Caenorhabditis elegans: one gene and its partner. The protein of the gene in region 1 purifies or fractionates together with the protein of each later gene. This does not show direct contact. Each region holds a gene or a part of one and is shown on either strand. Other genes may lie near its edges.

Evidence for each region. The genes of interacting proteins can lie anywhere in the genome.
Region 2: the proteins of cytb-5.1 (region 1) and ddx-17 fractionate together in Caenorhabditis elegans (co-fractionation; one large-scale study listed by BioGRID). This does not show direct contact.

Annotation. Positions count from the first base shown.
Region 1 is NC_003284.9:14,000,210-14,003,620, reverse strand, and holds cytb-5.1 (Cytochrome b5), read right to left. Parts: upstream 1,698-3,411; 5' UTR 1,697-1,697; coding exon 1,583-1,696; intron 1,154-1,582; coding exon 1,025-1,153; intron 971-1,024; coding exon 894-970; intron 783-893; coding exon 698-782; 3' UTR 541-697; downstream 1-540. Other genes in the region: tbc-19 (TBC1 domain family member 2B), read left to right, coding at 1-7, 279-357, 403-516.
Region 2 is NC_003283.11:14,008,257-14,013,522, reverse strand, and holds ddx-17 (RNA helicase), read left to right. Parts: upstream 1-1,581; 5' UTR 1,582-1,706; coding exon 1,707-1,723; intron 1,724-1,773; coding exon 1,774-2,671; intron 2,672-2,717; coding exon 2,718-3,063; intron 3,064-3,108; coding exon 3,109-3,168; intron 3,169-3,321; exon of another isoform or gene 3,322-3,627; intron 3,628-3,914; coding exon 3,915-4,012; intron 4,013-4,057; coding exon 4,058-4,272; intron 4,273-4,371; coding exon 4,372-4,423; 3' UTR 4,424-4,752; downstream 4,753-5,266. Other genes in the region: aip-1 (AN1-type domain-containing protein), read right to left, coding at 83-184, 236-293, 341-561, 619-693, 741-835, 887-944.

The sequences.
Region 1 (3,411 bases):
CTAGCGGGTGAGCAAAGTTTCAAGAGTTCACACAGTTGGAATGACGCAATTTGTGAACAAAGTTTTTTTTTCAACAATTGTTAAAGCGATTTTTTTACAAAATTGAATTGAGAAATTGAAGCTAAATATTGGGTAATGTTTTTACTAACTTAGTTAATTAGTTAACTAAGTAAGTGTTATAGAAAAATATAAACGACTTCAAGATTTTTTTTCGTTCACGCAACATTCACTCACTTCATGACAAGGAACTTATGGCATATCCAAGAAATTTTTTTCAGCGAGCACCACATTCTTACCTGCTCTGGAGAGTTTGGCGCCGACGAAGCAGTGTTGCTTTGGAGGAAAGATATTTCCACAGTAACTAATTCCAAGTTAGCTAACATAAAAGCTGTTTAATTTCAGAATCTTTGGATCAATGATCCAGTAACCCACGAAGTTCCAAACATACCTCCATCGTCAAAAACGTCCTCTTCAACACCAGCTTCCATTCAATCATTATCATTTCGATCGAAATGAAAACAAAATATTAAAGTCCCTTTTCAGTGTACATATGTTAATCACAGTGATGTATTTATTTTCGATAATAAAATCACAAAATGACATTTATTGGATAACAATGAAAAAAAAATCAGTTTTTTTTAAGTAAGATAATGCCCCAGTTTTCAAAATCATGGCGAAAATAGTGGATCAACAGTGATTACGCAGCGATAAGATAATAAACAAGAGCAACAATGACAGCAAGAAGGGCGAAGTAAACAATGTTGTCGGTTTGCATTGACTCTCTGAAAAAATATTATTATTCTGAGCTGAGATGCAGCGTTTAGTCAAAAGTTAACTTTTAAAATCATTTTTAAAAAAGTTCAAATTCAAAATAAAAGTATAACCCTACTTACCCTCCTCTCTGCTTGTTATCCTGTTCGGTGGTAGACTTCCATTGCTTCTTGTCATACGAGTAGGTTTTTCTCTCAGACTGGAACACAAAACAAATGAATGAAAATTATAAGCAAAAAAGGCAAAAACTTACTGCAACGACTTCTCCGATCAAATACTCGTCCTTCATATGCCTAGCGTCAGTGGAGTGCCCAACATCCTCGAATGCCTCAGTTCCATCACTTCCAGCCTGCTCAAGAAGGACCTCGCAACCTCCCGGATGCTGAAAAAAAAACATTATTAATTTTTAGTTTTGATGCGCCACGTGGTGCCAGCCTGTCCCATTACGGTTTGATCTACAAAAAATTCGGGAATTTTTGCCCCTATTTGTTTTCAAGTATTTCGATATCTTAATCGTCATGGTTTTGATTGTATCAAACAGTAAATTTTGTTTTAACGATAAAATAAGAATACATATTTGAAAGAGACGGTAACGGCTATTTTTGATAAAGTTGATGCTAAAAATTTTTGAGCAAGAAATCCTATCAATTGCAGAGAAAAAATTTAATTCCTTTTCATTTTTCATAGATGTCAATTTCTTTCTATTGATCAACAATGAATCTGCGTTTGTGTTATTCGTACCGTAAAGTGTGGTTTATGTCTGCCTACGTGCTTCGAGTACGGATTTCTAAATATCAGAACATAATCTTACCTCGTCCAAGAACTTGGTCACATCAAACACCTTGTTTCCAATTACAAGCCATGCTGATTTGTTTGTGTTGTGCTCGGCAATTTCCTTAAGGGTGATTTGCTTAAGATCGGCCATTCTGAAAATCATTTCGTGTTATTAAAAAATATATAGATATGAGAAGTATGGCAATAAAAAACATATTAAATTATGTTATTAAAATACAGGCCTGCAATACAAGACAGAAAAGACAGCAGCAATTGTGTCAAGGATGAAGAGAGAAAAATAGCTGACCAAGTTGAAAGGAGAAATAGAGAAACATGGGAAAGAGAGCAGAGAGACAATTTGAACAAACAAATAATAACGGCGGAGAAGAAATGGACGAGAGAATTGGGCAAAAGGAGTAGTGTGCCTGGGAGGGTGGCCTCGCGATGATCAATAGGCAATGAGACTATACTCTAACCTGATGTCATGACAACAGAACATGAGCATAAAGCACATTTTGGGAACACTTTGGAAATGTTAGTTTTGTGATTTCGAAACATGTGTATAATAACCAAAACGTTTAAAAGTAGAGATTCTATGAAAAATGATGAACTTACTTACTTACTTACTTAGTTAGTTAGTTACTTAGTCAATCCGTTCTTCAGGAATTCGGGGGATTCCTGCGGATCACAGACAATTATTCAAGAATTCATATTTTTTGAAAGTTGAATTTAAAAAAAACACCTGCAGTTTTGTTCGGTTTGTAGTGGTTTCAGACTGTTGACTAGTCGATTCAAATTGTCATACTTCATTATTGTCAAAAAAACGTTGTGTCAGAGTGTCCCATTCCGGTTTGATCTACGCAGATCTACAAGAATTGCGGGAATTTAGAAACAGACTTCTCAAGTGATTTCACAAAGTTGCTGACGTCGCATTTTATTGGGAAACAATTTCCCGCTTTTTTGTAGATCAAACCGCGATGGGAAAGCATGACACCACGTGAAAAAGAGTCCTTATTTTAATTCTAAAAACGTAAAGCTAACATCTCAATATTTTGAAAGACGTTGCTTCAAATAGAAAGAAACAAATTAGTCGAAAAAAACGTACATTTATATTTCTACTAAAAACTGTATAATAAACGAATCATCTCAAAACAACTGTTTATATCAGAATCTTAAAAATAAATTTAAAAAAAAAGCTTCAATTTTCAAATTTAGTGGAAGTGTTTAAAAAGGCAAATAGAAAAAATAAATCCAACTCTATAAGTAACGGTAGTTTTAATGTTTTAGTTTTTACTTAATTTAAAGCTGAAAAATAAAACTATCTACTTGTTGATTTCACAAATAGTTGCGTCTATTCATTCCAACTTTGGAGAGAAACAGAAATTGGGATGACCTGGATAGAACAAGAAAAGGGGAAGGTGCATGAGATGAAGGGCGAGATGTGACCGCCAAGGGATTAATGTACGCAGGCTACGCAGGCAACGTGGATCCGTTCCTATCGATCGATATGCAACGAAATGAAAATAAGTCTAGGGCTGCGTAGCCTTTTATACCAGTTGCTATACGCTCTCGCACCAGACCAAAGTAGGTTCGCCAGTATGGTCAAATGGGGCTAGAGAATGCTAGAGAAGAGAATCTATGGTTTGTAGTCTTCGGAACACACGTAGTCAAAGTAAATTTTCAAGAGAGAAAAAGAGTAGGAGAGTGATCAAAGGTGGTTGTGTATTTGATAAGGAAAGATTGTACAGATTGAATTTAACGTTGAGGAGAAAATAGACAAAGTAGTTTGTTGGTCATATTGACTACATGTTAAATTCATTTTCAATTTTGGAGGAAATGTGAGTAATACGACGAAACATTATTTTG
Region 2 (5,266 bases), on another chromosome or scaffold:
TATGAACTAGAACAAGGTTGAAGAGAAATGCAAATTGTACAGAAAATATGAGAAGGGAAATAAATATACACTAAATTGGATGCTATGAGACGGTGCAGTTGGAATTGGAATTTCTTGTTTGATGCGGCGGTGCAACTCGATTGTATTCTTCTTGTTGTAGAGAACGAGCCAGAGCTTCATCTCCCTGGAAACATTTGTGATTTAGTTAGTTGTTTTTTTGAAAATAGATACAAACCTCTGTTCTTGCTTGTGCGGAACATGGATTCATTCGGGAACGCGCGATTGATGTGATTCTGGAAAAATACCTTGAAATTCGATTTATTCAAAACAATAAACTTACGAATCCGTCCAGCTCTTTTTCTGATTTATCTTCATTTCGCCAACTTTTCGCTCACAACTGTGATCCCGCTCGTGTCTGTGAGAAAGGCAGTAGTTGTTTCGACATTTTGAGCAATTCATGGCTACCAGCTCTTTCTTCTTGCATTTTGGGACGGTACACGCGTTTGAATATACTTTTGCACGTTTCGGAGTCTGACAATTGTTCTGAATGTGCTCATTGACCTGAAAAAGAAACAATTTTTATCAATATTTTTGCAGGAATAATTTCAAAATAATTACTTGTTGATCAACATTGACATCTTTCGGCGTTGGAACTGGCTTCTCACATATAGGACAAATAGGAACTTGAACGGACTGAAATTTAATAATTTTAATCTAAAAAAAGATTTTCAAACACTTACAATTCTTGAGCCAGTCGGACAATTATGAGCCTCAAATGTGAAGTGCTCTGAGCAGTAGAAATGTCCACAACCGGAGCATTTGATTGGAAGAAAATCTGAAATAATTATTTTTTTATTTAATTAATTTTTTTTAAATGTTGACTTACCAAGTCTGTTGCAAACTGTGCTCTCACAGTGCTTTCCGAGATTTGGGAACTCCGCCATAGCTGAATAAAGCAAACGATATTGATAGGAAACGAGAGAATATAGACTTTTAAACACAAGAAATGATGACAATTGGAAAAATTCTAGAATTTACCAGAAATGCCAGACATCGGGTTACGAAATTATTGATTTTTATATATTATTGAAAGCTTTTGGACTTTTTAGAACGAGAAAAAATTGAATAATTCAATTTCAAGATTTTTGAAATCAATATCAGCTGATTCGCTAGAAAACGTGACGCTTTCAGTATTTCGTGACGTCACTGCGTACAGCTGGATTAAAGGCGCATGACATTAAACGTGCGGTGGGTCTCACAGCGAAACCGCTTTGCACCTCCTTCTCCCGCTTTTTTTGATTTTCGTCTCTCGCATTTGTCCCAAAACCTTTCATCTTTTTCTGTTTTTTCTTTCTAAATTCGATTTTTCGAACGATTTAAAAGTTGTTTTTCCCATTATTTTTCCCCCTTCTTGCACGGTGTGACGCAAAATACTCACTTGGTTATTTTGGCCCCACTTGTGTTTTATAGGGTAAAACAACCGAATTTCGTCGAAAATTTGGGTCTCTTCAATCCGTCCGTTCTCGTTTGCTACTCGTTTTCTCAGCGCTGCGAATCAATTTAAAACTTGTAATTCGTCAGCGCGTGCTTCTGTATCAAAGGAAGACGAGCCAAACGAGAGGTCTACTAATCGAAGTCGATATTTATTTTCGCAGCAGCCGTTGCACGACCAGAAGTTCGCATTTCAAACTCATATAAAAAAGACAATGGGAGACAGAGGATAGTAAGTTGACTTATCGATTATTGACGTGCATAATTGTTTTTCTTTTTCAGCGGAGGTTCTAGAAGCTATGGAGGAAGCAGCGGTGGTGGATCCCGCGGAGGATATGGAGGTGGAGGCCGTGGTGGCGGCGGCGGAGGATACAGCGGTGGTCGTGGTGGTGGATATGGAGGAGGTGGCGGTGGAGGCTACGGAGGAGGTGGTTATGGCGGCGGTGGCCGTGGAGGAGGTCGTGGAGGATCCAATGGTTCAGCTGGAGGACGCCTTCGCGATGTCGACTGGTCTGCCGAGAACCTTACTCCGATTGAGAAGGATTTCTATCACGAGAATGCAGCCGTATCCCGCCGTGAGCAGTATGAGATTGATCAATGGGTATCAGCAAATCAAGTTACTCTCGAAGGCCGTGGTGTCCCACGCCCGGTTTTCGAATTCAACGAGGCACCATTGCCAGGACAGATTCACGAGCTTTTGTACGGAAAGTTCCAGAAACCAACAGTTATTCAGTCAATCTCCTGGCCGATTGCCATGAGCGGACGTGATATTATCTCTATCGCCAAAACTGGTTCCGGAAAAACACTTGCCTTCATGCTCCCAGCTCTCGTCCACATCACAAAACAGGCTCACCGTCAACGCGGAGAAGGACCAGCCGTTCTTGTTTTGCTTCCAACTCGTGAATTGGCTCAACAAGTTCAAGAAGTATCAATCGATTTCTGCCACTCGTTAGGACTCAAGATGACCTGTCTCTTCGGAGGAGCATCCAAAGGACCACAAGCTCGTGATCTCGAGCGTGGAGTTGATATCGTTGTTGCCACTCCGGGACGTCTTCTCGATTTCCTTGATAACGGAACTACCAACATGAAGAAGTGCTCTTACTTGGTTCTTGATGAAGCCGATCGTATGCTTGATATGGGTTTCGAACCACAAATCAAGAAAATCATCGGACAGATTCGCGTAAGTTGAATCTGTTGTAATTGTGTTTTAATATATATTTTTTCAGCCAGACAGACAAACACTCATGTTCTCCGCCACATGGCCAAAGGAAGTTCGTGCGTTGGCTTCAGATTTCCAGAAAGACGCTGCTTTCCTCAACGTCGGATCCCTTGAGCTCGCTGCCAATCACAACATCACACAAGTCGTCGATATTCTCGAAGAACATGCAAAGCAAGCCAAACTCATGGAGCTCCTCAATCATATCATGAATCAAAAGGAATGCAAAACCATTATTTTTGTTGAGACAAAGCGGAAAGCCGATGAATTGACTCGTGCTATGCGTCGCGATGGATGGCCAACTCTCTGTATTCACGGTGACAAAAACCAAGGAGAAAGAGACTGGGTTCTTCAAGGTTAGTTAAAGTTACCAATTATTTTGTTATAAATACATTTTTCAGAATTCAAAGCAGGAAAAACACCAATCATGTTGGCCACCGATGTTGCCGCGCGTGGATTGGGTTAGTTTGTCGCGCCAACCTAGAAAGGGTCAAATTTTAGATGTCACATATTAGAAAAGTCGGTTTCAGGAGTTTCTGGCTTCCAGTTTTCTTGACAATCGTTACAATAGCATGGTATTCAGCCATATTTGTGATTTATTTGACCCTTTACAGTTACACCAACTTGATTTGGCCGAGAGGATTGATCGAAATGCAATGCAGTTGATTTTGGCAGCGTCTTGTGACGTTATCATATCATACGTTGCAGATGTGTAGTGGCAGAGAGTACCTTCTGGTGCTCTGTGAATGAAATCTACACATCGAGTCGAAGAAAGCGGTTCAGTTTCGCAAGCCGCCAGTATTGCAGTCATATACATTGAGTGCTGTTGTGGCTTGTGCAGGCTGTTCCGATGACTCATCAGTGACTCCGTCGAATTTTTCTCCTCTTCCCCATTCCCATCTTTAGAATTCTGGGTTCAGGTGCGTAAGTACGTATAGCTTAGTCAGAGTTGTATCGGCGGTCTCCCTGTGGTGATTGCTCTCAACCTGGTGAACTAGGTTTTATACGCATCTGGAACCTGTTAATAATTAAAAAATTATTGGAATGGATTTATTTCCCGGCTTATCCGGAGAGAGGAGTTTAAATGGCAATTCACTGTTTCGGTTCACTCGTGTTTATTCTTCTTGGTTCACCTGGTTGAGAGAAAGCGTCGTTCACGCTTTTTGCTCTAATTTGTTTTACAGTAATTTTAATTTAACAATTTTAGATGTCGATGATATCAAATTCGTGATCAACTATGATTATCCAAACAACTCTGAAGACTATGTTCACAGAATCGGTCGTACTGGTCGTAGTGACAAAAAGGTAAATTAGTAGAGAAAATTCAATATTTCATGATTTGTTTTTCAGGGAACCGCCTACACTTTCTTCACTCATACAAACGCTTCCAAGGCAAAGGATCTGTTGAAGGTTCTCGATGAGGCTAAGCAGACTGTTCCACAAGCTCTTCGTGATATGGCAAACCGCAGTTACGGAGGTAGCAACTCAAGGGGTCGCTATGGAGGTGGTGGTTTCCAGAAGAGAGGATACGGAGGAAACGATAACTTTGCTCCAAAGAGGCCACGGTACGTGTTTTTGTGATTAGAAATAAAAAAGTGGAATATGATAACGGATTTTTGAAATCGCACCTAATTTCGAATAAAATTAAATCCTGTAATTTTCAGATATGACAACGGAGGATACGGTGGAGGCAGCGGTGGAGGTGGCCGATGGTAGACGATCTACATATCTTCTCACTCACTTCCGACATTTAAACGATAATTCAGATCTCGTTCGTTCGGTTTTAATGGAACTCTGAACTTCTCCTCATTTTTATTCTTTTTTACTTTTTACTTTCTTACTCTTTGTTTTTTTGAGCGTTGTGCCCATATTTTATTTTTGTTTTAATCAGTAACTGTCATCTCCCTCCAAACTTTTAATAATATCCATCTAGTTTTATCATTGCGTTTTGTGTAACTCGGCTGCAATGGAAACAGTTTTGTTTCAAAGATTGTTTCTTTAATATAAGATCTTTTGAAGAAAATAAATATTGATGTTGATGGAAAAAATTGAAATATATTTTTGTGTTTTGGCTGTTGTCCCCCACTTTTCCTGTTTGCTCTTTGTCTTTTCCTATTGTTGGCACGCGGATTTCTTGTTTTTCATTTTTGTATCCTTAAAACGACACAGGCTCTTCAGGTTCTGTGTTCGTCAGTTCTTGTAGGCATTGAAATTCTTCTTCTCGAGACCTTCTTTTCTATTAATTCAGTCTATTCTATTGCAATCGATATGTGAAAAGTGAGAGATAGATGGGCGGCATTGAAGTACAGTTTTCTCGTTGGCGGGGCGCCACAGACAATTGATCTTTTGTAGAGACGATTGCGTCAGTTTTTAGGCCAATCGCATTTTTTTCCTTGCAAACTTGAACAAAAAACTGACATGATCGTTTCGAGACCCAATGGCAATTGACAGATGTGTACCGGAAGTGGAAGCTTTTTGTTCTCGAACATGGTGAGCAAACAACTCTTTTTGCAGTAGAGCTTGTATATTATATGTTTATAAACTAAGTTTTTCATTAAT